3 linked regions of the Lepisosteus oculatus genome follow. The protein of the gene in region 3 interacts with the protein of the main gene of each other region in a pairwise test. Links are inferred from orthologs where the notes say so. Each region holds a gene or a part of one and is shown on either strand. Other genes may lie near its edges. The genes, in order: hspb1, olfm3a and stub1.

Region 1 (10,392 bases), on a different chromosome or scaffold from region 3:
TTGCTAAGCACTTCATCCAATTGAGGGTCGCAGGGGAGACAGAGCCTATCCCAGCAGGGCACAAGGCAGGATACACCCTGGACAGGATGCCAGTCTATCACAGAGCAGGCAGACACAAACATGCACACACTCACACCCGGGCCAGGTTTCCCAGAAGTCAACCTACCAGCATGCCTTTGGACTTTGGGAGGAAACCAGAGCTCCCAGTGAAAATGCATGTGAACAAGAGAACATACAAACTCCACACAGATAGCTCCCCGGGCCCGGGATTGAACCCAGCACTAATTTGAACTGTTTGATTGTTTTCAGCTCTTAAACGTGTTAGGACAGTAGCACTATAAGTAACACAGAATCCCAAACGTCTGAGCAAAAACAAAAAGTGCATGTATTCCAATCAAGCAACTTGATAGTTCAGTTACATAATTAAGCTCAGCTGGACTGAAAGCCAGCAGGTGCATGGGCCTCAAGGACCTGGAACCCCTGAGATATGGGGATGGCAGAAAATAGTGAAGGCAAAACCAAACCGTGGAGGAAGGATTACTAACCCATAGTGGCAGAGTGTTCCATCAGTCGCATGAGTTAAGGGGGATATTTGTCTTATCTCCCAAACCTTTGCTTGTCAAGTCCCTCAGTCCAGTGTAAGGTATATCGCACCGTAGTTTCAGGCCTCCATTTCAGAGTGTAAATAAAGCAGCCAGTTAAACCTGAGAAGAAATGCAGTAGAATTTTCAAATATGTGTCCCTGGTTTATATCCAGGAATACTAGCTGTTAATGCGGCAATGGTTTTGCATATCCCAAAATGTCCATGGCTTCAGGACATTAGCCCTTTTCAGTATCTCCTTTTCATTGTCATTTTGTACAAAGCAATGAGGGAGAGCTGTCCATGTACAGACAATGCGTTTCCAATGTGTTTTCAGTTTTGTACTGATTTGAATGCTGGTGGTGTATCAGGGAACCTTCAGTCTTCCTCGTCTGTTTCAGTCTCTGTCCCCCTCTGAATGTTACATTTAAAATGTAACCCGAGTTAAAAAACAACAAGCAAATTATGTGGAAAAAAAAAGAACAACTACGTTCACCTTTGGATTGTATAAAAGTCAGTAGCTGTAGTGTACTAGTTAATACACGGTACAATAAACAACATAACAATGGGAACTTGGCTGTTGTTTTGTTGTGTGTTTGTTTTCAGGGCTTTGTATACCAGTGAGAACATCTCCATCGTTTTACCTCAAAGTAAAACTGTGCTAAAATTCTCACAACAGGTTTAAAAAGAAAAACTATCCCTGGGCCTTTTTTTACCTGCATTTTCTCTTTGTGGGTTTCCACTTGTAGTTTTGGAATGCTAATCGGGTAGATTTTTCTTCGACAAAAAAGCCTGAGAAGCCACACAGCCTGTGGGAAGGTAAGAGTGACTTTCACTATTCCTTCCATCCATCCAGTGTCTAACTGATTTATCCAATACAGGGTCACGAGAGAGCTGAAGCCTATCCTAGCAAGCATGGCAGGATACACCCTGGACAGGACACCAGTCCATCTCAGGGCAGACACTGACACACACGCTCACACCAGGGCTAGTTTTCCCACCAGCCACTTAACCCACCAGCATGTCTTTGGACTGTGGGAGGAAACTGGAGCAGAAAGAAGAAGCCCGTGGCACGAGGCAGCAGGGCACACCACTGCACCACAGTGCCGCCAACTTCCACAATCGCCTGTGTTAATTAAACTCACCAGTAACGTGTGATGGAGGTCCTGGCAGAGAACATTTTAGTTTATGACCCTGCATCTCAGCGATTTCATACTCCGTCCTTGGAGGGCCCTTTTAATCTAGTGCGAGTAGTTATTAAACAATTTAACTGAAATTAGTAAAATAGAACATATACAGGATTTTTCTCAAGGTTTCTTTTACAGAAACCATTCACTTCATTAAAATTACAGTCACCTAGAGTATAACATCCCTCTGAACCAGGTTAGAAGTATTACAATTAAGCAGTCAAATAATAAGATAGTTCAGGTGGGCAGCTGCGTCAGCATGCGTAGGCTGCAAAGGAACAAGTAATAGGTTTATTCCCTGCTGAAAAGAGAAGAAAAAACACAAGGTTTCGGCCGTGGAGCTTTCTTCAGGTGTGAATAATAAGATAGTCCACTGAATTTATACACAGACAAGAAAATACATGGAAATACTGGATTTACCTTTTTGAAAAGAATACAGGTAATTACTAAGGGTTAGTCATTCTGATCAACACTGGACTGTAATCGCAGCTCCTCGCACGCTGAATTATCTTCCCCCTCCTACTTGGTCAGTGCTTCCAAAAGAAACTATTTGCTCGACAGTTGTACGAGGGTCCGCCCGCTGGCCCGTCACCCTCGCCGGCATGCGCACTTTTCCACCCTACAATCACTACAGCATTGCATCGACATGCAGTGAAGTCGCTTTAACTCGTTACTGCGTCAACCCTGTGTTCAAGCCGAGCTTCATTCCGCAAAAAAAGAACAATATTTTAAATTTGGGACACGGGGGATCCGAGTTTCCTCGTTGAAGAACACAGTTGTTTTTTTTTTTTAACATTATATAACGTCAATCGGTTAATGGGAAAGAACGAAATTAAATGTATTACACTTTGAGGTCTGGGGGCAGGTATTGTAGGACAGATAATGCTACACAGCAGCACATCTCCTTCAGAAAAATGGAATGGCATTGAGGGTTGTTATATGAGTCTTGAGCAAAAACTAAACGACAATTTTCATATGCAATCAGCGCACACCGGTACAGTATATTCCCCCGTGTTTGTCTGTTCAAAGCAACAACACTAACAACAAATTAAAGGGCTATTTATTATTATGCGTGCTAATTAGCAGTTCTCAGTCCTCTGGCAGATTAACGATAGTCTGTGATAAGACTACGGTTTTACACTTGGCACATACTGCTCATACTGCACACACACAAATAAATTATGTGAGTTTCTCTGTAAACGAATTCATCCCATAGAGGGCACTCGCGAGCCTGTTTTTCCTCCACTTTTCCTCGCTTGGGTGATGAAATCCCTTTGGTTTCAGACACGAGTGATGGAATATTCTGGTAACTCCGGTTGAATTCGAGGCTGGAGGTTTCTGGCTGAACCTCGAGTGTAAATGTATCTTACAAGAATAAAACATGATGACACCTCCGTTAATTTTAGCCTAATCTCGAGAATATTCTCGTTGCTTTCTCAGTTATGCCCCTCAGTTCAATTAATGAGAGAAATAATGTTAAAAAATGGAGGTACTGATAAATTGTATGATAACACATTTGATTTTCGCTAAATGTTGAAAGTATGACTATATGATATCACTCAACTAATATTAATAAAAGGGGGTTTGTACGAATATACAGATCCCTGTCGTTGTGATTTGTGGTGCGCAGAAGATTGTGCTGAATTTCATTTTTTATTGAGCCGGCCGTCACTTTAGTTATAGAATAATTCCCTTTAAATGTTTCATCAGAAATTGAGCCATTGTAATTTTACATAAAAACGATTAGAAGAAAATCATTGGACAGCAGAATTCAAACTCAGTATCGTCGTAAGGTTAAAATTAAAACGTTGGTGATGATTTTTGAATTGATCTCGAACCTTCTACAGTATGTCCCACTGAAAAGGAAATGTTATACTGTATATTGATTTATACAGTATGTGTCTGTAAAATAAAATTGAAGGATAATATCGTTATACAATACACTATAGTAGAATAACTGTTTTAGGGGTTTGTCAGAATAATGAGACTATATTTAGTTCACATGAGTTTTGATATTTAAAATGAAGATGTTTTAATTCATTGCTGAATGTTGCTGTTTAGATATTCAGTAATACAGATCCGAAGTGTTTGATTATGACCATCAGACATCTCAAAACATATTGGGGAAGAAAGTAAGGGGAGATGACAACTGTGTTATTCTCCTTTGCTACGAATGAATATTAAATCTTATTATAGAGAAAAACAGCCTGACATATTTTATACCTATTAGTATCAGCTGCTCAAAATTAATGTAAAACTCATCTTTCTTCATGCTGTTGACTACTGCTGTCAAGACCCCCTGGGTGAAAGAATCCTGAAAAAATATTGTTTCAGATGAATAGCTCAGTGATATTTAGCTTATTAATATACAGTGCGAATAGGACAAGAAAGCCTGAGTTATTACTTCTGTCGTTCAGCTTTTCAAGATCCTCAACCCAGTGAGGCCTGAGCTAGCCTCTCAGCTGTCACTTCTAGTCTGTTAACTCCTCAGACACATTTTGTCACAGCCTGGGGAGCCGAAGCATGGAGACATTTGGAACCAGGCCTGTCCTGGGAAAATGACATTAGGTATTAGATTTATTTTAGTGAGCTTGTGCTTGTCGCAAGGCCTTCACAAGCAACTTCACCTGTGTGACCTACTGCCACCCCCACCCCCCCAAAAAAAAGACATCTTCTTTCTGAAAACCCCAGCTTAAAAAGGAAAAATTGCTGTCAGTTTTTCAGCTTCTTTATTTTTTTCTTCAGAAGGTTTGTAAAAACGTCATTAGAATGACATTTGTCAGGAACTAATTGGGTCTCCCTAGCACTGGTGTTTAGTGGTTTCCTACACTAATGATGCCCCTTCTAGCATTCAGGTGCCCCATTTGTAGCATGTTGAGACAAACTGCTAGATGACTTTGAAGTGATTTGGGTTGAAGCCACAAAGAGCCTCAATTTTTGTGCTTGGTTCTGAAGAACCAGGGTAGCTTCTGAAGTTCTCAGGAATGTACCACATTCGAAATCCCGTCTCTGTGACCAGTTCGGGTTTCGGTGATGGCAGTCCCTCCTCATGATACATTTCAAAGCAGCTCGGAACAGCTCTGCTCCAGCAGTTGCTGGAGTGCTGTTCCTTATCAGCGCTTCTGCCGTGCTCCAACAGAGGAGTGTTGGCAAGGTTCACACCAGATTCCTCTTTCAGGCTGTAATACCAGGCAGGGGATTACAATTGGCTGGAGCCGGGGGTTAAACACAGTGTGTTATCCAGCGGCGGGGGGGGGCGGTCTTGGAACACTAAATTCCTTTCCAGTGGTCTGTCTTCCATGAATAGACTTTCTAGGCTCTTCTATAAATATGATGGGGGGGTGAGAGGCGGGCAGTGAAGGAGAAGTTTATAAAGCCCACGGCCAACTATTACTTAGAGCACTCGCTCTTCCAAACAGCGCAGAGGAGAGCAGAGAACTGCAAAACCTTCTGAGGGTGGTCTGTCCCCGTTCCTAAAACGTTCCTCGCCGACATGTCCGAGCGCCACATTCCCTTCACTTTCCTTCGCGGCCCAAGCTGGGATCCCTTCCGAGACTGGTTCCACGGCAACCGGATCTTCGACCAGTCCTTCGGCATGCCAGCCCTCACCGAGGACTGGTACCACTGGCCGAGCACTCACTGGCCCGGCTACATTCGGCCCTCAGTTGTGGGCCCGGCAGCCGAAGCAGGGGCCCCCAGCGCTGTGAGCCCGCTGCCCCCGGGGCCGGCGATGTCGCCCTACGCCCGCGCGCTCTCCCGCCAGCTGAGCAGCGGCATGTCCGAGATCAAGCAGACCCAGGACCAGTGGAAAGTCAGCCTGGATGTCAACCACTTCTCCCCCGAGGAACTGGTGGTAAAAACCAAGGACGGCGTGGTGGAAATCACAGGTGAGTCCCGCAGGCAGCTCTGTCTTCCCCCCTCCTTCTGGGGGCGCTAGCGCTGCGAGGGGCGTGGCCACGGTACGGGCCCGAGCGGGCGTGAGGTGAGGGTCTGTATGGTGCACCAGCTTTCATGGGTTTTAAATCTTCGCAAACAGAACAAAATGACCTTTTTAATTTTAAAGGGTTAAAAAAAAAACTTCCAGACGTATTTTATTCCTTCCTTTCACCGTGAGTGCAGCCTTGATCATGTCATCTGTCTTATAAAGATTAATATGTAGTCATTGTTTGTTTCTGATTTATGTTTGTTTCTGTTTATGTGTTGCCTGTTTGTTTGGAGCAAATTAGTAAAAATAAGAAAGTCGACAGCTTCATAAAACACATTCTTTTAAAAGTTATGACAGCATTGAATGTTGGGAATATGGTATATCTCATGCTGTCTAGTTTATCTCAGTGAGAAAGTCTTTCTAGTTTTAAAAAAACAAATGTTTCTGAACTGGCCTTTGTTGTGGAAAATGAACAGAAGTCAACGTGTTCCCTGGATTCTCCTCAGAGCAGGGGGCAGCTGGGGTGACAGCACTGGTTCTCTGTTGAAGTGACACAGCTAGCACACACTGCCCCCGAGACTGGCCGAACTTGAATGCTTGATGAATTGAGTTTTACCATGGTCATAGCTGTGTTCGAAAGCAAGCTGATCTGCATCTGTTCCCGTCTACATCTGGTTTAATGGCAGTGTTAAAAAAATAGTTTCATCTGAAAAGCCAGCAAATTTGCCAATAACTGCGTCCCTCCTTCATCGGTGCCATGGGGATTGCAGCTGAGTCACTGATGACTCACACTTGCTTGTTGCTTTCAGAGTCAGCTGCTAGCCCAGCCAGGGCTGTTTCATTTCCTAATCAGACTTGCAAAGTTTTTAAGAAGCTTCACTTCGTGTGTCACTATTTGCAGCATTGGATTGCTTTTATAAAAGTATATAGGGCGGAGCTCTGCGCCTGTGGCTGGAAGGTTGCCGGTTCAAATCCTGCAGCTGGCAAAGGAATCCTACTCTGTTGGGCCCCTGAGCAAGGCTGTTAACCCCAACTGCTCCAGGGGTGCTGTACAATGACTGACCCTGCACTCTGACCCCAAGCTCTCTCCCTATCTGTTTGTCTCATGGAGAGCAAGCTGGGGTATGTGAAAAGATGAATTCCTAATTCAAGAAATTGTATAGGGCTAATAAAGTTATGTTATGTTACTGTAATAAGTCAGTTTTTACTGTTTTAGATTACTGTCTAAATTTGTTTTTATCACTTGATAATTTCCATTGCAACTTTGCATGAAGTAAAAAGACCATTTGTAATGATTTCCTAAAGTGCAACATTTATATACCTGTTTTCACGTGATGTCTCTCAAATGCATTGAAAAGTAATGGCTAAATTTAAGAAATCAACTGTAACCATGAGCACATATAAAATGAATGCAATCTATGGAATATGCTTCACTGTGATACAAGCAGTGCTTGTTTGCAGTAATAGTCAGTTGCCAAAGCAAACAACTGTGTTATCAGGATCTCAGTTTCAATAGGAATGTTCTATATTAAAGCAGGAAGACACACAGGGATCTATTAAAATGCTGTCAAGGGAGAATTGCCAGTTGCTAAAGGAAGCTGGTGTAACCTCAGAACTGAAAACATTCCATGCCTGACCTATGCATTTGTACCTGTAGGTAAACATGAAGAGAGACAGGATGAGCATGGCTACATTTCAAGATGCTTCACCAGAAAATACACGTGAGTATTAGAAAAACAGTATGAAGCATGTGTAATATATATTGTATAAAACTGGTAGCCTGTCTTTGTTGTGTGGAACACTTGTAGTAGGACTAGCTGATGCCCTCCTAGCAAAGTCCAGTTCATGAATTCAGTTTATGACAACATCACCTGTCCGGGCCCTCAGGCATGTGTTCCCTTTGCTTGCTGAAATCGGCAACGCTTTCTCGTTCCCCTCCCCAGGCTCCCTCCTGGCGTGGACGTCAACAAGGTGGTCTCCTCCCTCTCTCCAGAAGGAGTGCTGACCGTAGAGGCTCCTCTTCCCAAACCGGCAATCCAGGCTGCGGAAATTACCATCCCAGTCTCCCTGGAGAGCAAGGCCAAGCCTGCAGTCGAAACCAAGAAATAACCAGCATTGCTCTACCGACCTGCAAAGGCGCAGTGCAGTTAATATTGAACGCTTGACCACGCAGCAGTTTCCCAAATATTATAACAGAAACTATCTTTTGCTTGTTGTTTTTTTCATTCTTTTGAAATTGGCTCAATTTCTCGGTGAATGAAACATCCCCCCAGCACACTGACTTTGTATTATTACATTACGTGCTATTGCAAACCTGCATTTTTGCAGTCATTTCATCCTTCTTTTAGAGTTAGATTTAAAATACAATCCAAATACTCCCCTTTCACTTCTGCCTCCTGCTCTTAAGATTTGCTTGCTGCGCTCTGAATGCGATTAGACTTGGCTGGTGTGTGGGTATTGTTTTTTCTCCATTATGATACTGCAGCTCTGCTGGCTGCGGGTGTGCCATCTTCTGTGAAACTGCAGCTTGGTTTCTTCACTCAGGCACAACGTCCCTGCGTGAACACTAGGAGCATAGATAGCCTTGTCATTGGAATAAAAAATACAGGACATACTGTATGACTTTGGATGAGCTGAACTATGCATACAATACATTACAAGCCTTTTGTGGGAAAAAAAGAGATTTATTTCTAAGAAGTACAGAAAAGTAGGCTTTTATTCCTATTGTGAGACTAAAGAATAAATTACCAATTTGGTATAGCCTTCTGTTATTATTTTTGGTAATTGCTACTCACCATTGTTCTTGTTATGATATTTTGATTTGATGGAATCTGTTTAATGCTATAGTTTGCACATGGTAGAGATCGGCCTATATTTCAGTGGGTGTGAAGGTATTTCCATAATTTTGAAAAATAAATGCTTTGTCTTTTTTAAGTCAAAATAGTTGTGTGTGTTTCTTTAAGAGGATAGCATTAGAATCTGATTTTTTAACATACAGTAGATTGAGAATGGAGAAATGTTGTTCTTAATTTAATCAGATATTACAGGGCTGGAAGGGTGGTCTTGCACAGGATTTATTAGCTTTGACACTGCTTTCTTCACCAAGGTGTTACAGTACATTGTCACTGGCAGCTGAATGAAATACCAGCTGATTAGTTCTTGTATGTGTCTAATGTCATGGCTCAGACTTACGTTTTTGGTTTAAGATTAAACTTCAGACAAACACGTCTCCTGCTCCATAATTTTCCTCATTACTTTCTTTTGGACGGTTTTGATTTTGCCATATGCAGCAGTAAAGACATACTGTATAAGCTTTTAAACTTATGAACCTAGTCATTCAAAGGGGTATCAGTGTTATGCTCTTGCACAGCTGAAACTGTTCTTTCAAGAAGCCACAATAAACGGAAATGAACCAATTTTCTTTTCTTGTTCTGATGTCTCACAAACAGAAACAGAATGCAGAACAGTTTTCTTTTCGATATGAAAGCATGCATTTCTGCTGATGTGAAGTTACCTGCAATTCTTGTCAATAGCAATGGTAATGCGATATTTTGTCCATAGTATTGGAATGGTAGAAAAAATGCATTTGAATAACCACAAGTCTATGCTGATCAAGAAAGTGTTTGTTGTTTCTTTTAAAGAACGGACATGGTAACAAAAAGTAAGTAAAGAAACAAAAAGTAAGATTCAAAAGATGAATTATTCAGCTCCCTTTGCTGTCATGCATGGAAGTGGCTTTTATTTTTTTCTCACTGGCTCACTTTGTATATTTTATAACAGCCACGGCAGACACTCGTCAAAATAAAATCTATTTGGACGAAAAGACACTTCAGCCTGCCATCTTTTTGTGGGTAGTGGGCATTTAAAAAGAACATTAAAGACCCCAAGTTTTGTTATTCAACTGCCTAAATACTTTCAGAAATGCAGATCCTTATGTCTTCATTAGCAGTTAATCTATATTTGAGAGATGCTCCTATTATTAAGAAAAAGCATATGCTCTCTCTCTAATCCTGTTCTGTCTGAACCCCAGAGTATCCAAGAACCATACTGTATAAACAGGAAGGCAGAAACCTTCTTATCCTCTATACTGTAGATGACAAAGCTCCTTGTTCAGTCACTGAGTCATCATTCTCCAGTGCCCGTGAATCATGCTTTTTGTGTAGAATTCAAGATCCTCGAAAAACGACTCTTAAGCCTCCATTCACCCATTACATACACTGAACCCTCACACCACTGTTTTTATTAATAAAAATGTTCTTAGCATTGTGTGGCCGTCTAAGCAGACAAAGGAATGGTGATGGAATAGCTACTGTAAAGGCTTTGGAATCACTAAATTATTATGGCAGCCTCTTCTTGGGTCTGGCTAACAAAACGTAAGGAACTAGGGGCTGGAATAATGGTGTATGTAGTTTAACAAGAAAGAGTGACGTGCATACGATAGTTCATAAGCGTGGAACTGCCAATGGCTGACTTTCCATGCATAATTCAAGCAGGGTGCAGATTTGCTTTTTTTTAATTGTTAACAACACAAGGAGAGCCCGCTGAAGGAGTCTTTGCAGTTTCAGGACAAATGTGGAGCATAGCAGATATTCAGTAAAAACAGCAACAACAACAACTGTAAATAATACAGTAGATCCTGGTATCCCTCTGTTCTCTACACCTGCGGTGAATGGATTACCGTTACCTTTCCTTAATCAGC
Region 2 (11,012 bases), on a different chromosome or scaffold from region 3:
TTCAGGAATCAAAGTTTGGATACATTTGTAATTAATTTTTCTCCATTCCCCTCTATCTATCAGGATGCCTTCCAATACATTACAGTAATCTTTAATGAGACTCAATCAGTACTTTAGGTTGGTCACTGAAATCCAATAATTCTGCTCACGAAGGATAAATGTATTTGATGATAGCAAGGACAGAGTGAATTAAAAAGAAATGTACTGAAAGTGTGGATGACTCTTACTCTTTTTGCCATGCTTTGTAAGACAAATACACAAGGAGGTGTCTGTCAGTTTTATGTCAGGTCTGTTGTAGAATAACAGCTTATGGTGAAGAAAATTGGATGTAATAGATTAGAGTAATACAATCTGTTTCATCATTATGCTAAAAGCCCCCATACTGTGTTCTAGGCTGCATTTGAAGAAAAGCTGTAACTCAGGTCTACAGCACGCACAGAAGAGCACACAGACCTTTAAGGTTGAAAATAAATGAATTTAAAAATCTAATCAATGTATCTACACATATGTACACGTCACAAAAACAATGCCCAACCTCAGTGCTAATACATTTCTGTTTTTCATATACTTTATTTTGAGATAAGAACATATGTAAGCAGCAGCTGTTTTTAGGTCCACAAAATGCAGTGCTACTGCAATATAAATACCATCCAATATAATTATTTGTCTATGAATAAGACAGCAATGACACTAAGGGTTAGTAAAACTATCTGGTTGGAGTCATTCTAATAACCACATGCTTAAAAGACTGTGGAATACAATAAGGACATTGAAAAATATATTGTATCTAAAATAATGTTGCTCCTGCTGAATGTAAAGTATTATGATAAATAGTTCTTGTTGATTTTATTGTTTATAAAGAAGTTGTAAACTGGACATTTATTCCATATTACTTTATATTTTAGCACAAAAATAAGTGCAGGAAAGCATTGTTGTACTTTGGATTCTACCTTTTTCTCAGAAGACTAAGGCCTAGATTCTACCGAAGATCAACACAACTGCCAATTGCAAAATCCATCCCCAGCACTGGTGGAACACTAAGTCTTTCATTGTACAAATATATTATTCTATAAACACAATATTGTCCATGGGAAATATATAACCAACAGCATGAAACAGGCTCAGGATTTCTAATTCCATATGAGTCAAAATTTGATTTAATCATTGGTTTAAAAGAAACATGGTAATGATTATGGGGATTAAACTGAAAGACCATAATTATGTTGGTCTTTAAGGATCAATAACATTTCATTTTCCATAGATTTTCTTTGCTTTGTACACTTGATCAAAAGTATTTTTCTACCTGTAGACCTAAAATGCTGTATATTAAAAAGTTTTAGAAAAACTGTGATAAAAAATTTGAAAAATCACAAGAAGCTACAGTAAGTATTCATAGATCATTACAAAGCATGTTCAGGATTAAGGATTTAAATTAATTCACAATGTCTAATTGGTCTTGGTGAGTCATGAATGTACTTCTGTCTTGTGAAGGTTTTACCCCATTATGAAATTCAAAATCGTCAGCCGAGATGCATTTTAATGGGGTTATTTGTACTGGGCAAAGCAAATGTGTTTCAGGGTGAGGGAAATCTTTTTTCACTCTTATTTTATGCCCAATAAGTGCCAGGAATGGCACTAATGATATAAGCTAAAATATACTGGTGCTTATTTTCTGAGAGGTCACATTGATGTAAAGGTGAATTTATTACTAAGGAGACCATTTTAATGATTATTTTTTGTTGCATTCAGAAGCATTGCATCAACTTAGATCATACTGCATAGAGCTGACAGCTCATATTATAATCTTGAAAGACCTGCCTGGGTTGAACATTAATCTATTTAAACACACTGAATCAATCAACAGACAAATTCAGATGCAAAAAGTGTTAACTCTTCTAAAATAGATAAGAAATTGCCTTCATATACTGTAGATAACTATGTTACATCCCTTTACAGGTGTGTGGTTTAAGTACCTCATATTTTTAAAATTACTGCAATAATGACAATTTATAAAAGTTGCAGTTGTGTAGAAATAAAATATAAGGATATTAACATAAACAATGATATTCAAAATGTGAAGACTGAGAAATGTTTGATGAAATTACCCCCATGCTGATAGTTGATGAAGGGTTCGTGAGTTGTTTTCAGCACCAAGACCAGTAACCACCTAATTATTTTACAAGACTGTAAAGTAAATAACATTTTATGTTTTTGTTGTTAAACTCTGGAATTAACCAATTATCATTCTTTAACTTTATCAGAACAGAGGATTGAGAACAGTACATGCTTTCCTCCACAATGAGTTCTTGTCAGATTTGACTGCCATTTTCTATACTACATGTCTTATGGTGCCTTATGGGAGTTAGCATTGGAGGAATAATGTGACATTCAATATCAATACTGCAAGCTTACAGGCATCCAGCGAGAAAAACAGCCTGCTCTTGCACAAGCAGTCAAGGATATGGGTGCCAGTCAAGGATATGGGTGCACCGGTAGCTGATGAATCCCAGTCACTGACTAAGCTTAAGAGAAGGTTTAGGTTCGTATCAAAGCTATCTAAATTATAAAGCTCAACTTGTGCTCTACTTTAACATTTTAACAGGTTGATTTTCTCAGAAGACGCATTTTGTTTTACTTGTAGATGCAAAATAACCAACTGAATCTAAATCTTAATCTACTTTGGCTGCATATCAGTAATATGTATAAAGTAGGTTATTATAAAGTTAGGACACTCGCATATATACATTTCTATTTTGTTCATTAATTCTTCAGTCACAGAAACAAAGTGTGGGAGGAAATTAGCAACAATAATTTCAAGAATCATCAACATGATATACTCCATGGCTCTCTGACAAAAGAATTGACAGTTTATTTCACACCACCAGATTTGAAACAACAATATTTTGGCTGGATCAATTGTCAGTAGCCCTCTTGGAAGACAATAACAAAACTGGGATTGAGCTCTTACATTTTGAAGTCGATGAAAACATGTGCATGCAATGGAGAGTTTGAAAACATTTTTATTATAATATTTAATTACTGGACATACAGTATATACAGCAATGTAAAGCTTTTGCTATACCATACAGAAAAAATTCAACTTCTGCAAAATTGATAAAAAGCCTTCCTTTGACTAAATAAATATTGTTGTCACAATAACACATCTCAATGTCAGGGAAAAAAAGGCCTTTGAAAAAAGCCCAGAGCATTCTCTTAAACCACTGTTGTTGATATTATTGGACTTAGTATAAGTGTACATTAAGAAGAACATTCAAAGTATACAAACTATTTGTGCAGGAGGGGATGGAGTGATTGTAAGTGGTAATTTAGTTAGATATTGATTACATTTTAAAACCTCAGGTAACAAAGTCATTAATAATAAATAGACTAATAAGTCAGCAATACGTGTCTAATGGCTTAAAATGTGTTCATGTAAGCACATTTTCTAAATTAGTATTTCTTTCCCTTCTTTTATTTCATGCAACACAAGAGATAAATACCTTTGTGATTGTGCATTGTGTACACTGTTCTGCATTTCGATACTATGGGAAACTAAACTGAACCACTGCATCACGTATCTCAAGTCTCCATTTCTATACAACATGTGTTAAAGCAATGTATTGTCCTTGTATTGTATTTCGTCAGGTTAACCGGGATTATTTTTTTGTCTTTTCTGTTTTCGACGACAGTGTATTATAACAAGCAAACAATTTTTAGTCAGCACTTGTGTATTAATTTGAATTTAGTGATGTGACGCAAATTTTATTTTTACATTGCAACTATATTGCCGCTAAAATGGCACAAAACCCTCATTAATAAAGTTCTAGAGTTAGCTGTTCTTATCCATGAACCTAATACTAACACCATATTAGAGGGGATATTCGGATTAAATAGTAATTTAGACTTCGTATATGTTTCAGTTAATCTCGACGAGATCATCCACAATGTGGTAGAGGCGTAACAGGCGCTTAATACTTTATCACTGCTTGAATTTCAAACCGCTAGCTTAGTCATTGCTCAACGATGTGTATAAACGCTATATTTCAATTATCTGGCAGAATTTCAACGTTATTTTCCTAGTGTGAAAGCTTTGCGCCTTCAAACGTTTATATATAAAGTGCATGCGTGCATGTTGCATGCCGCGGTAGCATTCGCTCTTTTACCTTGAGCATTGAAAGCTTTCTTGAAGCATCCTCCAGTTGTTATGTTACTGATATAATTAATACGGATGTTTTGCCAGTGGCCAGCAAAGACAACCAGCTTAGCGAACTGGAACGGTACAATTCTCCTAGAACTGCAGTGCTGGTTACAGTAAGCAATATATTTTACCAAGAGGATTTTTCTCCAATCTTTCTCCTCACTAAACTTACCTGTGAAGTGTTTTACATACGCACATACAATAATCTTCATTTCATAAAGAAGAACAACCAACCAACTCACCACAGACGGATATAATCCGAACAGCATCAGCAAAAGCAGAGGATTCAGAATCCCGAACAGTGCCTGCATTCTGTTTGGAAGCAGTTGCACTTTACTCGCTCATTCACTCACAGCCTTCACTGCAGGACCTTGTCAGGTTTACTACTGGAATATGCCTGGCGATTAAAGCGCCCCAGTGGAACAAGACGGATAGATCCTCATTCATTACACCGCTCTGAGGGCTTTCGCCGTGCAAGCAATACAGAATACTCCGGTCCACACTGTCAACAGGAAAGTTTTGACCTGAAGAGAGATTTCGGGGGCTGCAAAGGAGGTGTTGAAACCTGCACAACGGAAATGACATCACTTTCTTTTCCCTTTGGGATTATGGAAAGTTTTTTGTGTGCATGGGGGTCATTGTTTATGAGAAAGTAATTCTTACCAGAGGAAGTGTTCAATAATGCTAGAAGACACTTAGAATTTTTCATTTTCCGTTCGAACCAGTTGAATTTTATTCCACATCAATTCTTAAAATATTGCTTTACATTAACAGTTAAACGCATACAGTAAGCCCAGATAGTTCTGGATTCTGCTCGAATACACCTGAGCATCAGGGCAGACTTGAAGAGTCATCTCTCAGGTACATACTGTATACTCTCTGCATCCCACATAAAGCATGAAATCAGAATTTGTATAGTGTATATGTTTAAGTTAACGTGTATTACAGTATCACACCAAGGTTATAATGGTCACGCGTTAAATGTCCTTGCTACATATTCTGATATACTGTACCAAAAACGCTGTAATGATATCTTGATAAACGATCCCGGTTTATGAAATTCCGAATTCCTGTGCTTTTCCTCACCTCCACTATGCTTTTTATACCTGAGACCTGGGTTAAGCATAATTCACTCTTGGTTTTTTGTTATGCAAGTAAAGGGATACATTGTAAACGCTGCGGTTTCAAGATTTTTTAATGTTATTTAATCGCACAAAGTTTCATAATAACAATTGTACATGGTTTCATTATATTTTTAACTGGTTGCTGATTAACAAAATCCTTTAAGTTGTTTGCTTTTTTCCCCCTGCTTAGCCTGAGAATTTTCATGTCAGTTAAATACATTTCAAATATCCGCCTTCTCTTGATCTTTTGTTGCTATAGTTGTAAACATCCAAGAAAGAATGATCTTTTTTGTCACTTCCAGAAGGGTCTATATATCACAAGTGTCATTAAAGGTTGATTACTGTTGGCAACAGTATTTATAGTTTGTAGAATAGTATAGAAAAAACCCTTGATGTGAACAGCTTTGCATTTTGTAAGACAGCCTAGGTATCTAATGTACATCTATGTAAATTATAAATAAAATAATTGTTATTGTAACATCGACACCTGTTCTTGGTGCAAGGTCAGTAGGAAGATGTCTACTGGATCATCATCTATCATGTACCCAACATACGCAGAGGTGCTTAACATTACATCTGGAAGATTTGGACTTTTGTCCTTGACCAATTCTATTATTAGCAGTACTAGTTTCAAGTACACTTGACAGAATGTTGATTATGCTCCAGCTAACCATGGAGTTGGGCTGCAGTCTGTTGCATAGGGTGGCCTTCACTAGCTTAGGCTTTGATTTCTCCATGCTTGTCATATGATATTTCCTCCCCAGGAGTCATTGCATTCACCACACTTTCATCAGACCACAAAGGCATACAGTACTTTATGTTAAGGTATGATGCTTTCTGATTGTAATCACAGAGCATACAGCACCAAAATATGAAGTCCCTTTACACAGTGCATTGCATTTTTGTACAATATGTGGTATTTGTACATTATTTGTATTTTATGCCAATATTTTCTTTGTTTTTTAGTTTTGTCCAATTCTATCATGAAAAGTTTGAAAATGAAAAAACAGAACAGATTAATATAACATTTTTGGGATTTTCATGGCACTCAATAAATACAGTATGTTATACATACTGTATAAACTGAAGTAAATCTGTATTTTAGTGCTTAACATTACATCTGTTATGTATTCCTAACATAAAAAAGTTATGGCTCAGTTTTATTAAGTGCATACATGCCTATAGCTGAACAATACCTATAAATATGTTTTTACATAATTGTTTCCATAATTAGATTTCCAAGTATTTATTATAAGAGGACAGTTCCTGAGGGCTCTGCACAGTTGGAGTCCAGGTTGTAAATGAAGTGTATGTTAAAGGCAACTCTAATACGTGATCCATATAATTATACTTGAAATTGGTGAAAAATAATTTCTGTTTTCCACAGCAGTAGCCCTTTCGTCATTCAACCATTAAAAAATCCCATTTTCTCCTTTCCATTTCTTTCCAAAATACTCTGGATTTAAAGCCATCCTCTAACCCATTATTGCTGCCCAGAACGTAGATCCTGTCTTAGCCAACCACAGAAAACTCCATTGATCTCCATATGACTGTGGAAATTAGGGGATGGTTCAACACTTCTGTGGTGTCCCTCACTGCTTCCTAGCCTCAACATAGAGCTCTGTATGCACAATATGATAAAGGCAGCGGCTATCTCACTCTGCAACTCACAACTGGCAGCCTGCTGAAGCTACGCAGGTACTGTATCAGCCTGCCCAATACATGTATCGGAGACATCCTATGATAGCTAAGGTTGCTTCTGGAAGATGTGTTAGTAGGTCCAGTAGGGAGCACTCACCAAGTGACCTGTGTTGGTCCTAATGATGGGAACACTATACTGTAAAAAGACGCCATCCTTCTGATGAGACGTAAAACCTGACTCACAGTTGTCATCAATAATCCCAGGGTGTTTCTTGAAAAGAGAAGGGGAATTATCCCGGCATTCTGGCCACATTTCCCCCTGACCTTTACCAATCACAGCCTCGTAATAATCCCCAAAAGGAATATATAAGTGTATGGAATTATTATTATTATTATTATTATTATTATTATTATTATTATTATTATTATTATTATTATTATTATTATTATTATCATGTCAAGATTGGAAAGGGCTCATTGGCACAAAGAGAATGTGGAAGCTGCCAGAGCTGAGCAGTCCTCCATAAGGGCAAATTTCTCTTATCTTCTTGTGATTAAATATAAATCGCCTAAACATTAATATCCACTTTTGCTGAAATGCCTGACCTCTGATTGGTGTTGGTTCTGGAGCTGGCTTCTTCACCCTTATTAAGCTCGCTTTCTGTTACTATCAAGAAGTCAAATTAAGTTAGGTATGATCGTTGGCAGCAGCCACCCAGCACAGACACTTCTTCAGATTAAACATCCATTTGTCTAATAATTCATTAGTAAATCACTGAATATACAAATCAATTTAATTGTAATTAACTAACAGCCAGATAAGTGACTAAGTAGTACAGAACAAGACATAATACTTATGTTGCGTTTTATATTTGCAATCCCATGGCAATCTTTCACACACTTATAAAAGTAAAAAAGCATTCACTCCTTCTTTCATAATTATGTGATCCATGCTTGGATATGGATATGCTTGAGCACACAGAGCACCCACAGACCTGACATCTATGATAGGAGAGGAAGGGAGTAAGGAACAAATTGATTAGGCTGTTGCATTCATCCATTTAAACCTATCTCAGTTTTTCAAAGTATAATATTTGAATTAGTAAATTCTATCATGTGTAATGATGGGTAGATTTAAAAAAAGAGATATTTTGAAATTCGTATATATTGTATTTACAGGCAGAATCGTTTTTGTCATTGAAGGATTTAAATGCAGTAATTAATACAGTAAAAAGTAGCAAAATATTTTTTTATAGCAGTCTGCATCTCAAGTAGTAAGGGTTCCAACTGATACCAATATACAAAAAATGTAGTGGGTATGCCATCAAACCTAAAAGACATGCCTTTGTTCATAGTCTGCAGTTTCCTTTTTAGCTCAGTTGGATGCTTAAGGCCTTTGAGTAATTGTTTGCATATGTCATTATTATGTGGGGTGTCAGAACTATATAATATAAAACAAAAGGAAGTGTATTCAGAATTGAGCTGAACTGGATTGGAATTTGATACCTTCTGAGGTATTAACAGAAGAAATATTTGACAAATTTTCATTGTTATAAAGTTTAAGATATACCGTATAAAATGGCTTGGTAGACTGCCATGAAAGCAATTTAGCTTCTGATTCTCTTAAATATTTAGATTCCAGTTCTTTAGTTTTACATAAATGGCATTGCAGCACAGAGACAAAAGGTGTAGAAACAGTCCTGATGAAACCCTTTTTTGTGTGAATTATAATGCAAGAATCATTCACTGAGTCGTGATTAAAAGACAGCAGCTTCTGTATATCACTCTGCAACCCACTGAAGCTCAGTGATGTAAGCCTGGTCAGTACCTGGATGGAAGACCTCATGGGAAAAACTATGGTCACTGCTGGAAGAGGTGTTTATGGGGCCAGTAGGGGGTGCTCACCCTGTGGTCTGTGTGGGTCCTAATGCCCCAGTATTGTGACAGGGACACTATACTGTAAAAAGGTGCCATTCTTCGGATGAGAGGTAAAACTGAGGTCCTGACTCTCTGTGGTCATTAAAAATCCCAGGGCATTTCTCAAAAAGACTAGGAGTGGTACCCCGGCGTCCTGGCCAAATTTCCCATTTACCTTTACCAATCCTAATAATTCCCATCTATGAACTGGCTTCAGCACTTTGTTCTCCTTCCCACTGATAGCTGGTATGTGGTGAGCGTTGTGGCGCACTATGGCTGGTGTTGCATCATCCAGGTGATGGAGACTGTACTTTATGTCTCTTATTATAATGCATAACTTCAAAGTTAAAAACAACCCCTGATGACCATAAGAGTTCTTAAATACACATACGGTGGATTTTTGGTCCCAGAAAAGATGGGAATACTTTACCTTGTTACAACATTTTATCAACAAACAATATGTATTTGGTTAAAAAACACATGCATATCTTCCTGTATATTTTATTATTCTTAAACTATATCATATTTGTAAAGACATAAAAATATAAATAAATAAAATCAAGCTAACTTTAAGTAGCTCAGAGTCTCTCCTAAGAACAATAAAAAATATGTAACTTCCTACAGTATAATCTGTTTTATTAATAAAATGTAACTACCCAAAAGAAAAACAATTTATAAATAAATGAATACCCTACCTAAGTTCCATGCAAGGCCAAGATTAATCCCTTAATTAATATAATTTGACATTTAAATCATAAAGAAAGAACATATAGCTTTTTGAGGTATTCTTAGATTTATTTTATGGATCGTATTGTTGCTGTGAAAACACAATGCTTAACTGGTTAAACTTACTTAATCTAAAATATAAATCTAAATATTGGAGTGTTCTTCTTTTTTGATAAGGATAAATCTTTGCATTGTAGATAGAAAACCTAATTGTGAAATGTTCTTTTAATAAAAAATAGTAAAACTGATAAATGAGGTAAACTTTAAAGCCTTCTATAAGTATCATCAGTATTCACAGAATACCACTTAATAAACATCTTGAATGAAGACCTAAGACAGATTTTTACATTTGAAAACTCCAGCTGCTTGTTATTTGGTTTTAATAAGAACAGCCTGTGTTTTCTTTGTTACAACATGGTGCAAATAGCTTTTTTTCATCTGTTAGGCTTGTTTAAAGATGAATCACAGCTCTAGCCCTGTGCTATAATTATGCAAAGGAAAATAATTCATGTACAAATGAATGTGCTGCCTAAGAGTTCTTCACAGTCAATTCCATGGCATAACCCCTGGACTAATGTCAATTTATTGACTGAGTGAAAATGTCAAAGTTTAAATTCTTTAAATAAATTATAAAATATATATGTAAAACGCACACAGTAGTATACACGAGGACCTGTACTTACCAACAATCTGGTGAGTAGATCATCGACTGAATGATAAAGATGGTGTGCTGAGAATCTTGGTTTTCCATTTCTTCGTAGTACACTGATAAAAGTTGTCACCGGTCTATACCACACAGGTATCTCGTTTATTCTGTTATTCAAAATGACATTTTTAGCACATACTGAAAGAGCCTGTGGTTCAGATGAAATATCCAGTATATACATTCAAACATGGAGTGAGGCAGTTTTTTAAAACTTTTCAACAGTCCACACACATTTGTGGTGCTTGTTCATCTGGTCTTTGGCTCTTTCCACCTTTGACTAAAGTTGATCTATGTTTAGGTGTACATGGTCTATGTTTAAAAAAGTATTACACAGCAACAAATTATATTGTTGTAGTGACAAAAAAATGCTGAAAATTCTGATTATACCTGTACATGTGTATTACTGAAATTAACCTTTCATTACCATTTTTGTTGTAAAAGAAGAGCAATAACAAGTGACAGCTTGTGCTGTCCCTGGGGTGATTGCTGGCTTGTTGGATTAGGAGATAATGAATGGAAATATATACTGTGCATTTTTTAGTTTGAGGGGATGTAATGATTTTTTTTCTTTGTGCCTCTCAGCAAGCAATATCAATACCAGTTCTCTACAATAACACAATCAACTGATTACAAAGCAGAAAGGGTAATTAAAAAACCAAGGGAGTCTCAGGTTTAACCCATATTGCAAACATTTTACACT
Region 3 (11,223 bases):
CATACTGCCTTCTTCAAGCAGCAGAGATAAACGTTATTAAAACATCCTGCACCCTTGACGAGTTGGGGTGCTCTCACACTTTGTTCTGAGTATCCAGCTGCTTCTGCAGCACAGCTCTGTCCGTAAACAACATTTTTAGGATAAAACAACTTTTCTCAGTAACTTTCCATTACACCTTCATCACACAATGTGAGTCCAAATAGATTTTGTCTGTCTTCCACAGAGAAGTCACACCCTGGGATCCATTCTGATTGCACAGCACAGTACCTGTTGGCTATAGTACCTCTCCACTCATATTATAAAACATCAAGCATTGCACTCAGCTTTTCAGGATGCAATCATTGCCCATAAATGTGGTCCACACTTTCCTGGTCATGGAGTGAAATCTAAATAATTTCAAAAAGGGGACTACATTCCAAATATTTTCGTAGAAAACTCATTACTAGGCCGGATTTAAAATGTGTGCTGCCTCAATCGGTCCCCGGTTGATTAGTCATTTGAGGTGTTTTCTTCATGGGAAAGTGTAGGTGTGGGGGGAAAATAGGTTCGCGTGAGAGAGATTAGTTTGGAACAAAGAAACTTGAGACATGTTTGAATTTGCATGAAAGGGAATGCCAAAGGAATTCGTGAAATCACTTTCAGTTTAAGGATTTCTGACAGCCCTTCCTCATCCTTGAGCTGTTATTTGATTGTGTGTCTTTTTGTTTTTGCATTTATTCTAAACCGCGGTGACAGCAAACAAGTGTTTTGTACTATTCTTACTTGAAAATGCACAGCTTCTTTTATTGTTTCTGATAATTGTTGCACTCTTTGTCTGGAAATAGAAATGGAAGTATAGTTAAGGTTGTGCTGTTACTGTGCCCACAGAATGTGCCTCTCAGAAAGAACTGAGTGTGTCAAAAGAACACAGCTACCAAGAAATGGTCAGCTCATTGACGCAAAGGTCACTGGATCTAAATTTTAAAACAATAAAAAAATGTTTCCTTGCCTTTGCTTTTAGATCTCAAGACGTGAAGAAGCAGATAGCATACATTCAACACAAAATCAAAAATCACCACACGGTGAAAAATGTGCCTCACTGATGTCCCAGAATGCCTTGTGACAGTGATATTAGGTGTCTTACAGAGTCCAGCGAAGTTTGAATGTTTTTTTAATAGACTGGTAAAGCAATTTGAAGAGCAAGTGAGCTATTTAAAAGGGCGATTCATTTTATCTTGGAATCACTAAGAGCAAGTCGAGCAAAAAAGCCGAGTCTTAGCTGTGTCCAACGAAGTAAATACTGCCAAGAAATGTTCATTGCAAAACCTTCAAATCCAGGTTAAAATCCTTTGTTTCTAACCTTCCTCTTAGGCATCTCCAGGTACTGTAAATGGGTAACGATTGAGTTTGTACCTCAGATCCTTTACCCACCTAACCATAGAATGTTAGGGTCAGCTTGAAGTTATAAAAAGTAAAAAATAATGGGTGTCTTGGTGTTATGAAAGCTGTGGACATTGTTAGTTTACTGTAGTTTGTGTTTTGCTGTAGCCCATTTATTGTGGCCTTTGACATTAATAGGCTGGACATTGACCTGCGATCTTCCTTACCACCTGCAAAGTATTTCAGAATGAGAAAAAGCTGATTTTAAAACTGAAGCTGGTCTCTGTTTAAAAGGTTGCCTGTTGAAAAACAGCTGCACATCGCTCAAATGTTTGCTGTTGTCGGAGCTTTGGGTACTTCACAAGGGGAGATCATTTCTTAGGAAAAGGGAGGAGTTAGGAATCTCACTTAAATAGACGAAAAACAGAAAGGTAAAACAAAGCTCTCATTCTACCATGCAGAAGCAAAGGGACACAAACAAGGAGACGCCATCAGCAGCAAAGATGGGTGAGGATTTCAAGTCGTCTAAGCTGAATATCGTCCATTTCTGCGAGATCGCCCTTGCTGGCATTGCAGTGGTCTTGTCCCAGCTCATGAAAATTGAAATCACTAGGACCATTGACAGTGTGTCGCCTATTGGGGACCCCCTGACCGCGCTTCAAAAGGTCATCCCCTTGGGCAATGCCATTGCTAACAGAGACCCGTCCAGAAACACCCCAGCCAAAGTATGGTGCATTATCGTCTGGTGCTTCTGCTTCTCCATGACCGGGCTGACGGTTCTCCTGGAGTTCATGGGCCACTCCAAGAAGTCCAACCGCTGTGAGAAGTTCATCAAGGCTGTCCCCCGGTTGGCGATGGTCATCGTCCTCTCCGCCTGCATCGTCTTCCCTGCTTGCCACCTCTGCATGCTGAACGGTTTAATCAAGACGGAGTTCGAGACGATGTGCCACAGGGAAATGATTAGCTGCACCGTGGTGTCCTGCCTCCTCTTCATCGCCTATGGCGTGGAGGTCAAGCTGAAGTGGCCTTAGTCTGGTCAAAGTGGCCTGCTTTATGGATCATCCCCGCCCCCCATTAGATTCAGCCATGGCCCTCACGCAGTCCTTGTTTGCTAATGTACAGTAGATGTTCGCTTTCAGGCTCCTTCCACCCCAGTCTCCTACTGGTCATCAGCATGCAGGTGTTCAGCTGTCACCCGGAAGAGTGGATCACAAACTGGGACAAGGGACATACTGTCTTTTTTCCAGCCACCCTCACTGGTGCAACAGTGATGATTCTCAGTCTCTGTTTTCAGGGGTCTCAAGTGTAAATGGGAGTCAGCTGTGAGGGACTGGACCTAGCTGTTACTGTATTTTTCAGGTGGTAGGTTTGCTGATTGTTCTCTAAAAACCTGTCTCTAAGGTTCATTTTTTTATCAGTAATTATTGTCTAAAGATTATAATTAACTGTGATCCTGCTTAGAACAGTGTGACTCTGTGTATATTCTAGGTGTCGGGGTAATTTTAAATAAATCTAGTGGTGTGCTTTTAACTCAGTTTTTTCTGTAACTGCAGTGGCTGCGTTACTTGTTGTTTTATGTTGTAAAACGTAAAAAATTTAATTTCCTTTAATTTTTTTGCACCATAATATTAGTAGAAAGATGGTGATCCCATATATTTCATGCTATCTGCTTCTTGTCTTCTTGTGCCAGTAGCAAATAGTCATGGGTAAAATGGTTCACTGCTATCAATAGCTTTATCCAGGTGAAAGGGAGTCTTTTTAAATTCCTTTATTTAACCTATTACCTGAGAACAAATCCTCATTTACAAAATTTACCAAAAGAAATGACTGGATCCATCTGAATGAAGTGCTTTTTCGAAGGTTTGGCAGTAGTACTCCTCCCAGAATTGGATAATAAGTTTTACCAGTGTAGTTTAATGGAAAACACATGCAAAGCCCTTTGTAAACTGATGGTGATAGTTTGCTGTATGCATTCAACTTCAATAAACCTGAATGTGTTTATTTTTGCTGGTCTGTTTTTGTTGCTTTTGTTCCACACCTTAGTGACCGAATGTGGAAAAACTCCCCATCAACTGGTGTTGCAGCTTTTACAATCCACTTTTAAGAGCACATAAATAATAGTAATTATTCAAAAACAATTTCACTCCTTCGTATTCATAATGTAGCAACTTGAGCAATAAATCAATGTTCAACATTTCGCAAGGTGAATTCATATCATGCAGTTTATACATGGAATTTGAGATTTTAACTTAAATGCATTTTGTTTTCTTCAGTCCGTTCACGCTTATTATGAAAAAGGAAGCTCATCACTTCAGACCGAGCGCAGCGCGACAGTGACATGATCTGCTGAATACCACAAACTACACAAGAGACAGCACCACAGGGAGAAAGACACGTCAGTCCCTCGGAGATAAACAATGCAAGGTCATTGGGATACAGAACACTGCATGAAAGGCGTGTGGATGTGTATTGAAGTAGGACAAGACTGCCCCCTGGAGCACAGTCTGAGTGCTGGAATATTACAGAACACAACTGAAGCCTGGCACCCTAGCTAGCATTTGCTCATATTTAACAAGCAAAGAGGTTAATTTGAAGATTCATGTTGCCTATTGCTATTTCTGTCTTGGATTCAATCACATACTAAACTTCTGTACACATTGATACCTGTAAAATAAAAGTCTGAATCTGATGTATATACAGGGTATCATAATTTTGTCATCACCTTGTTCCCAGAAAATGCACGTGTGTGAGTGAATGTGCAAAGACTAGCAGTTTCAGTTTCCACGTCAATGGGTCTCCTGAAGCCTAACAATTATGTTGATATTGGACAGGACTGAACTTTCTTCCTTAGGGAAGTATTTGATCAGTATTTGCTTGATGTTAATAATAATAATAATAATTGCTTACACTTTCTGGACACTCCACTCAAAGCGCTTTACAGGTAATGGGGACTCCCCTCCACCACCACCAGTGTGCAGCCCCACCTGGATGATGCAACAGCAGCCATAGTGCGCCAGAACACTCACCACACACCAGCTCTCAGTGGGGAGGAGAGCAGAGTAATGTAGCCAATTCATAGAGGGGGATTATTAGGAGGCTATGATTGGTAAGGGCCAATGGGAAATTTGGCCAGGATGCCAGGGTTACACCCCTACTCTTTTCAGGAAACGCCCTTGGATTTTTAATGAGCACAGAGAGTCAGGACCTCAGTTTTACATCTCATCCGAAGGACAGCACCTGTTTACAGTATAGTGTCCCCGTCACTATACTGAGGCATTAGGACCCACATGGACCGCAGGGTGAGCACCCCCACTAACACCTCTTCCAGCAGCAACCTTAGTTTTTCCCAGGAGGTCTCCCATCCAGGTACTGACCAGGCTCACACCTGCTTAGCTTCAGTGGGTTGCCAGTTGTGAGTTGCAGGGTGATATGGCTGCTGGCTAAATGGTTTTTACTTGCTCAGAGCTTTGTTCAAGGTTTGAGCTTTTCGGTTCTAAAATAATGCTGGGTGTAATAGTATTATTGGGTGGCACAAGCAGCCACTTAGAAGTTAGAGAATTAACTAAATCTTTAGAATATAAATCAAGGGATGTTATATTAAAAGATAACATTGTTAAGAATACTGTACATGCAGTTTTGATCATCAAGTTACAAAATGTTTTGCAGGCTTAAGAGAAATGTCTCTTCAGAATAGACAGTAAAAACTTTCAACAGGAGGCATTTTACATAAAGATTTGTGGGGGAAATGGAATAAGCTGTGTTATCCATGTTGATACCCTGGTTGCCAGGAAACAGCTGGATAAGATCCTCACATCAATTAGTTACTAAGTGATAACTAATTGACTACTAGCTACAGTAGCAATTGAGTTGGTTACAAACCAGATGAGTCTTTCTTATGTTGTTATGTTTTCAACAAGCCCCGTTCCATTACAAACCGTTAATTGTAACAAACTCTGACTGGTCTATAGTTTTAAGTTACTATGCTGCTATAATTATACTAAATCATGACGCTATTGAGTATATATTTAAAGTCAACAGGTCCACCATAAGCACAGCACATCTGTTGCTTGTGTTGACCGTCCACACTTCCAAAATGTCTAGAATTACTGTCAGCTTTTTTTTTATTATTGAATTGAATTGGAACACATATTTGAATTGTCAGCCTAGACATAAATTATAATTACAAATTAAGAAATGGCTGGATGACATCCTCGGATCAATTGACTAGTGACTGCCAAACTGGCTATAGACTAATCCCTTCCTCGGTTTGCAAACGTTCTCCCGGTCTATGTTTTTGTATTTTAAATCAACCTAGAGCGGTGATTTACGTTTGAAATCCGCTCGTTAAGACTAACGAATGCAATCAGCCGGCAAAGCACACCCGCTATGCTCTATTTCATCCATTTTCTCGCAAAAATAAAGGGTTAAACGACAGCGGTAAATCGCTTTGCACTCTATGGTCGTCTTCCGTTGTTTTACTTCCGAGTTTGACCCGAACTCTCTTCGGGCAGGAACTTCCGACAGCGGCTCAGCCATCAAAACAAGAGACGGATGAGACTCGTAGTCCGGGAGTGGGGTGAAAGCCCCAAATGCCGTTATTTTCTGAGAAACGCAATGCGAGTATAGCACCCCTGACCCATGATCGCCCATTTCTTCTCCACAGTGTGAGTCTACATATTTCTCTGGGAAGAAAAACCCCCCGCAAAACGTGAGGTGAAGCGGACGTCAAGGCCAACTGGCTGCGCGGAACCCCGACCTTGCCTGTTGACAGCAGCCGAGGGACACCTCTGCGGCAGCGGGGAAGGCTGCGCTTCAGCTATCCGGTAGGTTCAGGAAGGCGGGGGAGGGAGGGATGGGGTGCCGGTCTTTCCCTTTGGGATAGCGATTCATCAGCTTTAGAGGAGAAGCAATAGATCAAACCAAGCGATGAAATATACGTATTAGTGGCCAACAGTGGGCGAAAGCACGCTTGCAGACATATGGTAGCTACCTGTTGTAAACAGCAATTTGGTACCGAAAATGTCATGGTGTTGATACCGACGGACCCGTTGCACAGTCCCGGTGCCATCTCTTTTCCATCTTTATAGAAGGAAAAACCTCTGTTGGGGATATTGCCGTTAATTTTCGTCTACGTGTACTGATGATAAGTAACGAGACCTTACACCTTATTTCAGACACCCCCCAGAGTGAATTATTATTTTTAACTCTCTGAAATACATGTTGCAGATCCTTATTCTAGAAATCTTGGGGTTAGTTGATGAGGCACTTCACGTATAAGCATGGCCGAGATGGTCAGCAGACGTGACGTGTTTTGCAGCCCAGTTAATAAGTGTTTCTGCTTAAAATGAATATCGCCCCGGACCCGTCGGTGACTGATTAGTCAGCAGACCACAGCGAGTGTGTGAAATTTAGCGTTTTTTCTCTCGGTACACGCGTTTTTATGGGAATGCAGGGCAGATCTCATTGATAACTGGTCTCCTGAGGCTGATTACATGAAGCCTACAACTCGCCAAAGAACCCATGATCCTAAATTCTCAGCCGCATCGATTGTCATAGGGATGATCGAAGTAATTAATGTAGAGTCCTGTTTAGTTCCAGATGTATATTTTAGTCGACCCCACGTGGAAAAAACGTTTGTTTTAGTTATGATAACCACCCATGTGGTTATCTGTCAGTCCTGGGATCTTCTCCGGAAGCCCAGTGATGGTAACTAATATAACACGATTGTTTTAGTGACTTCCCTCTATAGATGTATGGCTCTTTTATGCCATTAAATTAGGAGGCAAAACGACTAGAAGTGTTCTGAAATTTCTACTTTCCTCATGGTGAAGTGGTGCCTTCTGTGTGGAGTCTGCGTGTCCCCCATAATTATCATGCTTGCTGGTTTAACTGGCATCTCGTTGGGCTTGTGTGTGGATGTGCTTCCCAATGGACTGTGCCAATAGTATGGAGGTTCTAAAAATAGGCTAATTCTTGTCATAATTTTTGTTCGCCAGCGATCTGTTAACCAGACCAGGCCAAGATTATAGACTAGGGCCTCCGGCCCTATTCACTTCGCTTTGATAAAGTTTTGATGTTTGAAGGATCTGCTGACATGTACTGTATATATGAGATCAAATACTTAAGAGCCTCTGCTCTTATTCCTGGTTTCCTTCCTGAAGAAGGAAACGTTGTTAGTACATCCTATGAAACCTACCGCTGTAGCCTTGTAAGTATGTCGAAACGTTTCATATAGACGAGAGTAAAAAGTACAGGTCCCTGAGGTACAGTGTAAAAGCCATGCAGGGAAAGGTTTCATATATTTTAATTAAACCCAGATGTAGGTAAGAGTATCTGGCTGCAGGTTTGGACATAATTGAATTGTAACCCCCTTTGATTGCATTACCAAGATTGAGCAAACATCATTATCGCTGGTATCCAAGAGAGACCCGAGAGGCTGGTGTTCCTTTCATTGGCTGTGCAGCTCGATGAAAGAATTTCCATTATTTGAAATGCTGACCCATCTTAGGTTATATCTCATGTGGCTTTCCTGATTGAAATGAACTAATACTGTATTATGGATTACAATTCAGTGTGTGCTTTTATCTTCAGTTGCATTGCTTTAGTTTGTCCTGAACTGTTGTATGTTTTTTTTTCACATGACAGCAATGCATTGTGCTGTTTTTAATCATGTCGATGGTAGATATATAGTTAATTCCTCTTCTAGAGTCTTCATTGAATCTGCCATAGCAGAACTGAGCAATAGAGTTCTGTTTAGAAGGATAAACAGTTCCATTCTGGCAAATTAGCAATTAAAGCAGCTGATCTCTAGAGATGTGCAATTTAAACAAACTTTTGAAATGTGAATAATCACAAAAGAAGTTAAAAGCTTTGCAAAATGTAATTTATTTTCAGTCAATAAAGTAGGAGCAAAACAACTATATTCCATGTATATCAGATTAACATAAATTCATTTTAGAAATACCATTTTCTCTAGCAGGACTGCAGAACCTTTAAGTGCCACAATTGAAGCATCCTTCACAGGTTTACTGGCTGTAATTAAGCTACTGACAGGTGTGCGGCTTAAAACTTTTTTTTTTCCGTTTTGAAGACCCTAATTAGTGATATTCTAAGAATTTGCAAAAGGTAGCTCAAAATTGGTGATAATTGGGGTCAATGCAACCCTTGTCTCAAGTAATGACTTCCCCAAGCATTGACAATGGTGTCCTTATTTCTTTATCTTCATCTATTTAAGTGCTCTTGAGGAGCACTGAAGGAGAAAGCTAGGGATTGCACTACCATTGATGAAGCACATATCTTTGAGTTTTTTTCGTTTTGATGCAGAAGGAGAATATTTTACTTTGCAGTGTGTTCACAGTTACAGTACCTGGACTTTTATTTGCTTTGCTTTTGCTGATATTTTGTGAAGCACCCTGGGGTGCTCAGGCAGGAATGGCACGACATAGAAAAGTTTTGTTGCGTTTGCTAGAAAAGCTTTTTGGGCATAGGTGATGCCACACTTTTTGTGTTTTTAACAGGATATTTATAGGGGAACTGCAACACTATCTTTATATTTCGGGGCTAGAATAACCATTGATGAGTGCGTTTGAAACCGCAATAAAAAGTAAAATCTCCACAGTAACTTGTAAAACCTCCAATTTACATCACACAAAATAGAGGACATTTCCAGGTATGCGCTATATTGTGCGTTTCGGAACAAGGCAACAAAACTTCAGTGACGTGTTGCGGCCCTCTTATATTGTAGAGAAGCAGGCTTGTGAATACATCTCCTTCTAGTCCAATAAAAATATTTCTCTGTTATTTTTTCCCCAACAAATGCCACTCGCTTGTTAAATCTGCATGCACGTTGGAACATTCCTGCGATGAAATTTCTGCTGCACAACCTGCATTTAATTGCTCATACATCCCATTACATTAGTCATTATAGTGACTAGTGAGCAGGAAGGGCCGCTTCACGTCACAATTCGTGGAAACTCGGATGAGAGTTTGTGACAACATGGCGATTTCCGGTGCTTTCACAAAGGGCACGTTTTTGTGCTTAATTTGGAAGCCGTAAAATTTCAGGTCTGAGAAATTGGGACTGCGGTTCCCCCTTTCAGGCTTTCGGGAAGTGTCTTTGCCGCGTCCTGTCGGGGAAACAGAGATGTGTGACGGACGTGTTGTTTCCGCGCAATCCCAGGATGCTCTGCTCTGTTCTGCCTTGCAGGGATCGGGCGGGGGCGGGGGGGGGGGGGGTGTGTCCAGCCTGACGCAGCCCGAGGGGGGGTGCCCAGCCGGAGACACGGGGAGCAGGATTGGGAAGCAGAGTGGAGCGGGCGCGGCGGGGTGCGCGGAGAAGATGGCGGGCAGCCCCGAGAAAAGTGCCTCCGCCCAGGAGCTGAAGGAGCAGGGCAACCGGCTCTTCCTCAGCCGCAAGTACCAGGAAGCTGCCGCCTGCTACAGCAAAGCCATCGTGAGTAGCCGTGGCCCTGTGATCGCTCGAGTGTACCCGTAGCTTCCCGCCAGTCAGAGTTCTTTATCCCTTGTGAGCAGATTCCATTGAGACAGAAAGGGAATGTTTGTATGCCAGTCCCTGTGGGCGGAGCTGTGGCACTGTGGCAACGGATCTGTGCCCGTGGCTGGAGGGTTGCCGGTTCAAATCCCGCGGCCGGCAGAGGAATCCTACTCCGTTGGGCCCCTGAGCAAGGCCCTTAACCCCAGCTGCTCCAGGGGCGCCGTATAAATGGCCGACCCTGCTCTCTGACCCCCAGCTTCTCTCTCCCTGACTGTGTGTCTCATGGAGAGCAAGCTGGGGTCTGCGCAAAGACAAATTCCTAATGCAAGAAATTGTATATGGCCAATAAAGTGGTCTTTTCTAATTATTAAGGCTTATTTGGATATGAAATTAAATGCCTTATGAGACTAGGTGATTCTAGTTTTAAACAATTTTGCAGTACCCAGGGAGCCTTTGCATGGTGAAAGTGCCCTTTGGTAATGCTGTGCTCTTTGTTTTGTTTTCCTCGTGTCTTTGCTAGCTTAAGTTGGAAAGGTGCTGCCTCCCTCTTTTAACCTCGGTTTTCTCATTTCCGCTCCCAGAACCGGAACCCCTCGGTGGCTGTGTACTACACCAACCGGGCCCTTTGCTATGTGAAACTCCAGCAGCATGACAAGGCCCTGGCGGACTGCAAGCACGCCCTGGAGCTGGACAGCCAGTCTGTGAAGGCCCACTTCTTCCTGGGCCAGTGCCACCTGGAGATGGAGAACTACGACGAAGCCATTGGCAACCTGCAGAGAGGTCAGACCCTCCCCCAGCTCCCTTCACTTGGAGTGCCCATTTAAAAATTGAATTAGAAGTTCTGGCTGCTATTGAACGTGTTGTCCGACTGCGTTCTAGGAAGAGTTCAGCTCTTTTTTTCCCCGTTTTGTAAGATACCAAAGTAAACCCTGTTGCTACGCAGAGGCAGACTTGTGTTTTGTGAGCACGTTCCTTGCACTCGGTTGCCCTAAATAAAAGCTGATCTCCGCAAAAACCGGAGTGAAAGCTGCGCCTCTGTGTTGCAGCCTACAACCTGGCGAAGGAACAGCGGCTGAACTTTGGGGACGACATCCCCAGCGCTCTCAGGATAGCCAAGAAGAAGCGCTGGAACAGCATCGAGGAGAAACGCATCAACCAGGAGAACGAGCTCCACGCCTATCTCACCAAGCTCATCCTCGCCGAGAAAGAAAGGTACACGGGCGCAGTTTGCACTTTGCAACCATGAAAGCTGCTGCAGCTTCTTAATTCTCTCCCGATTGCCGATTCCTAGTTCAGACAGTTCCAGGTGTTTCTATATACAACGTTTCATCCACAAAGAACTGTATGCAAGGGCGTAACCTAACTCCATC

Evidence for each region.
Region 1: the proteins of stub1 (region 3) and hspb1 interact in binary tests that used the Homo sapiens proteins (3 or more experiments, as listed by UniProt). The link is inferred for Lepisosteus oculatus from reciprocal best matches to the Homo sapiens genes STUB1 and HSPB1.
Region 2: the proteins of stub1 (region 3) and olfm3a interact in binary tests that used the Homo sapiens proteins (3 or more experiments, as listed by UniProt). The two-hybrid records come from large-scale screens. The link is inferred for Lepisosteus oculatus from reciprocal best matches to the Homo sapiens genes STUB1 and OLFM3.

Annotation. Positions count from the first base shown.
Region 1 is NC_090721.1:3,380,366-3,390,757, forward strand, and holds hspb1 (heat shock protein beta-1), read left to right. Parts: upstream 1-5,146; 5' UTR 5,147-5,261; coding exon 5,262-5,655; intron 5,656-7,350; coding exon 7,351-7,414; intron 7,415-7,636; coding exon 7,637-7,802; 3' UTR 7,803-9,109; downstream 9,110-10,392. UniProt on the Homo sapiens protein: Small heat shock protein which functions as a molecular chaperone probably maintaining denatured proteins in a folding-competent state. Plays a role in stress resistance and actin organization.
Region 2 is NC_090704.1:10,112,516-10,123,527, forward strand, and holds the start of olfm3a (noelin-3a), read right to left. Parts: upstream 4,766-11,012; 5' UTR 4,510-4,765; coding exon 4,441-4,509; intron 1-4,440.
Region 3 is NC_090714.1:6,185,263-6,196,485, forward strand, and holds the start of stub1 (E3 ubiquitin-protein ligase CHIP), read left to right. Parts: upstream 1-6,075; 5' UTR 6,076-6,182; intron 6,183-9,565; 5' UTR 9,566-9,697; coding exon 9,698-9,811; intron 9,812-10,434; coding exon 10,435-10,633; intron 10,634-10,899; coding exon 10,900-11,065; intron 11,066-11,223. UniProt on the Homo sapiens protein: E3 ubiquitin-protein ligase which targets misfolded chaperone substrates towards proteasomal degradation.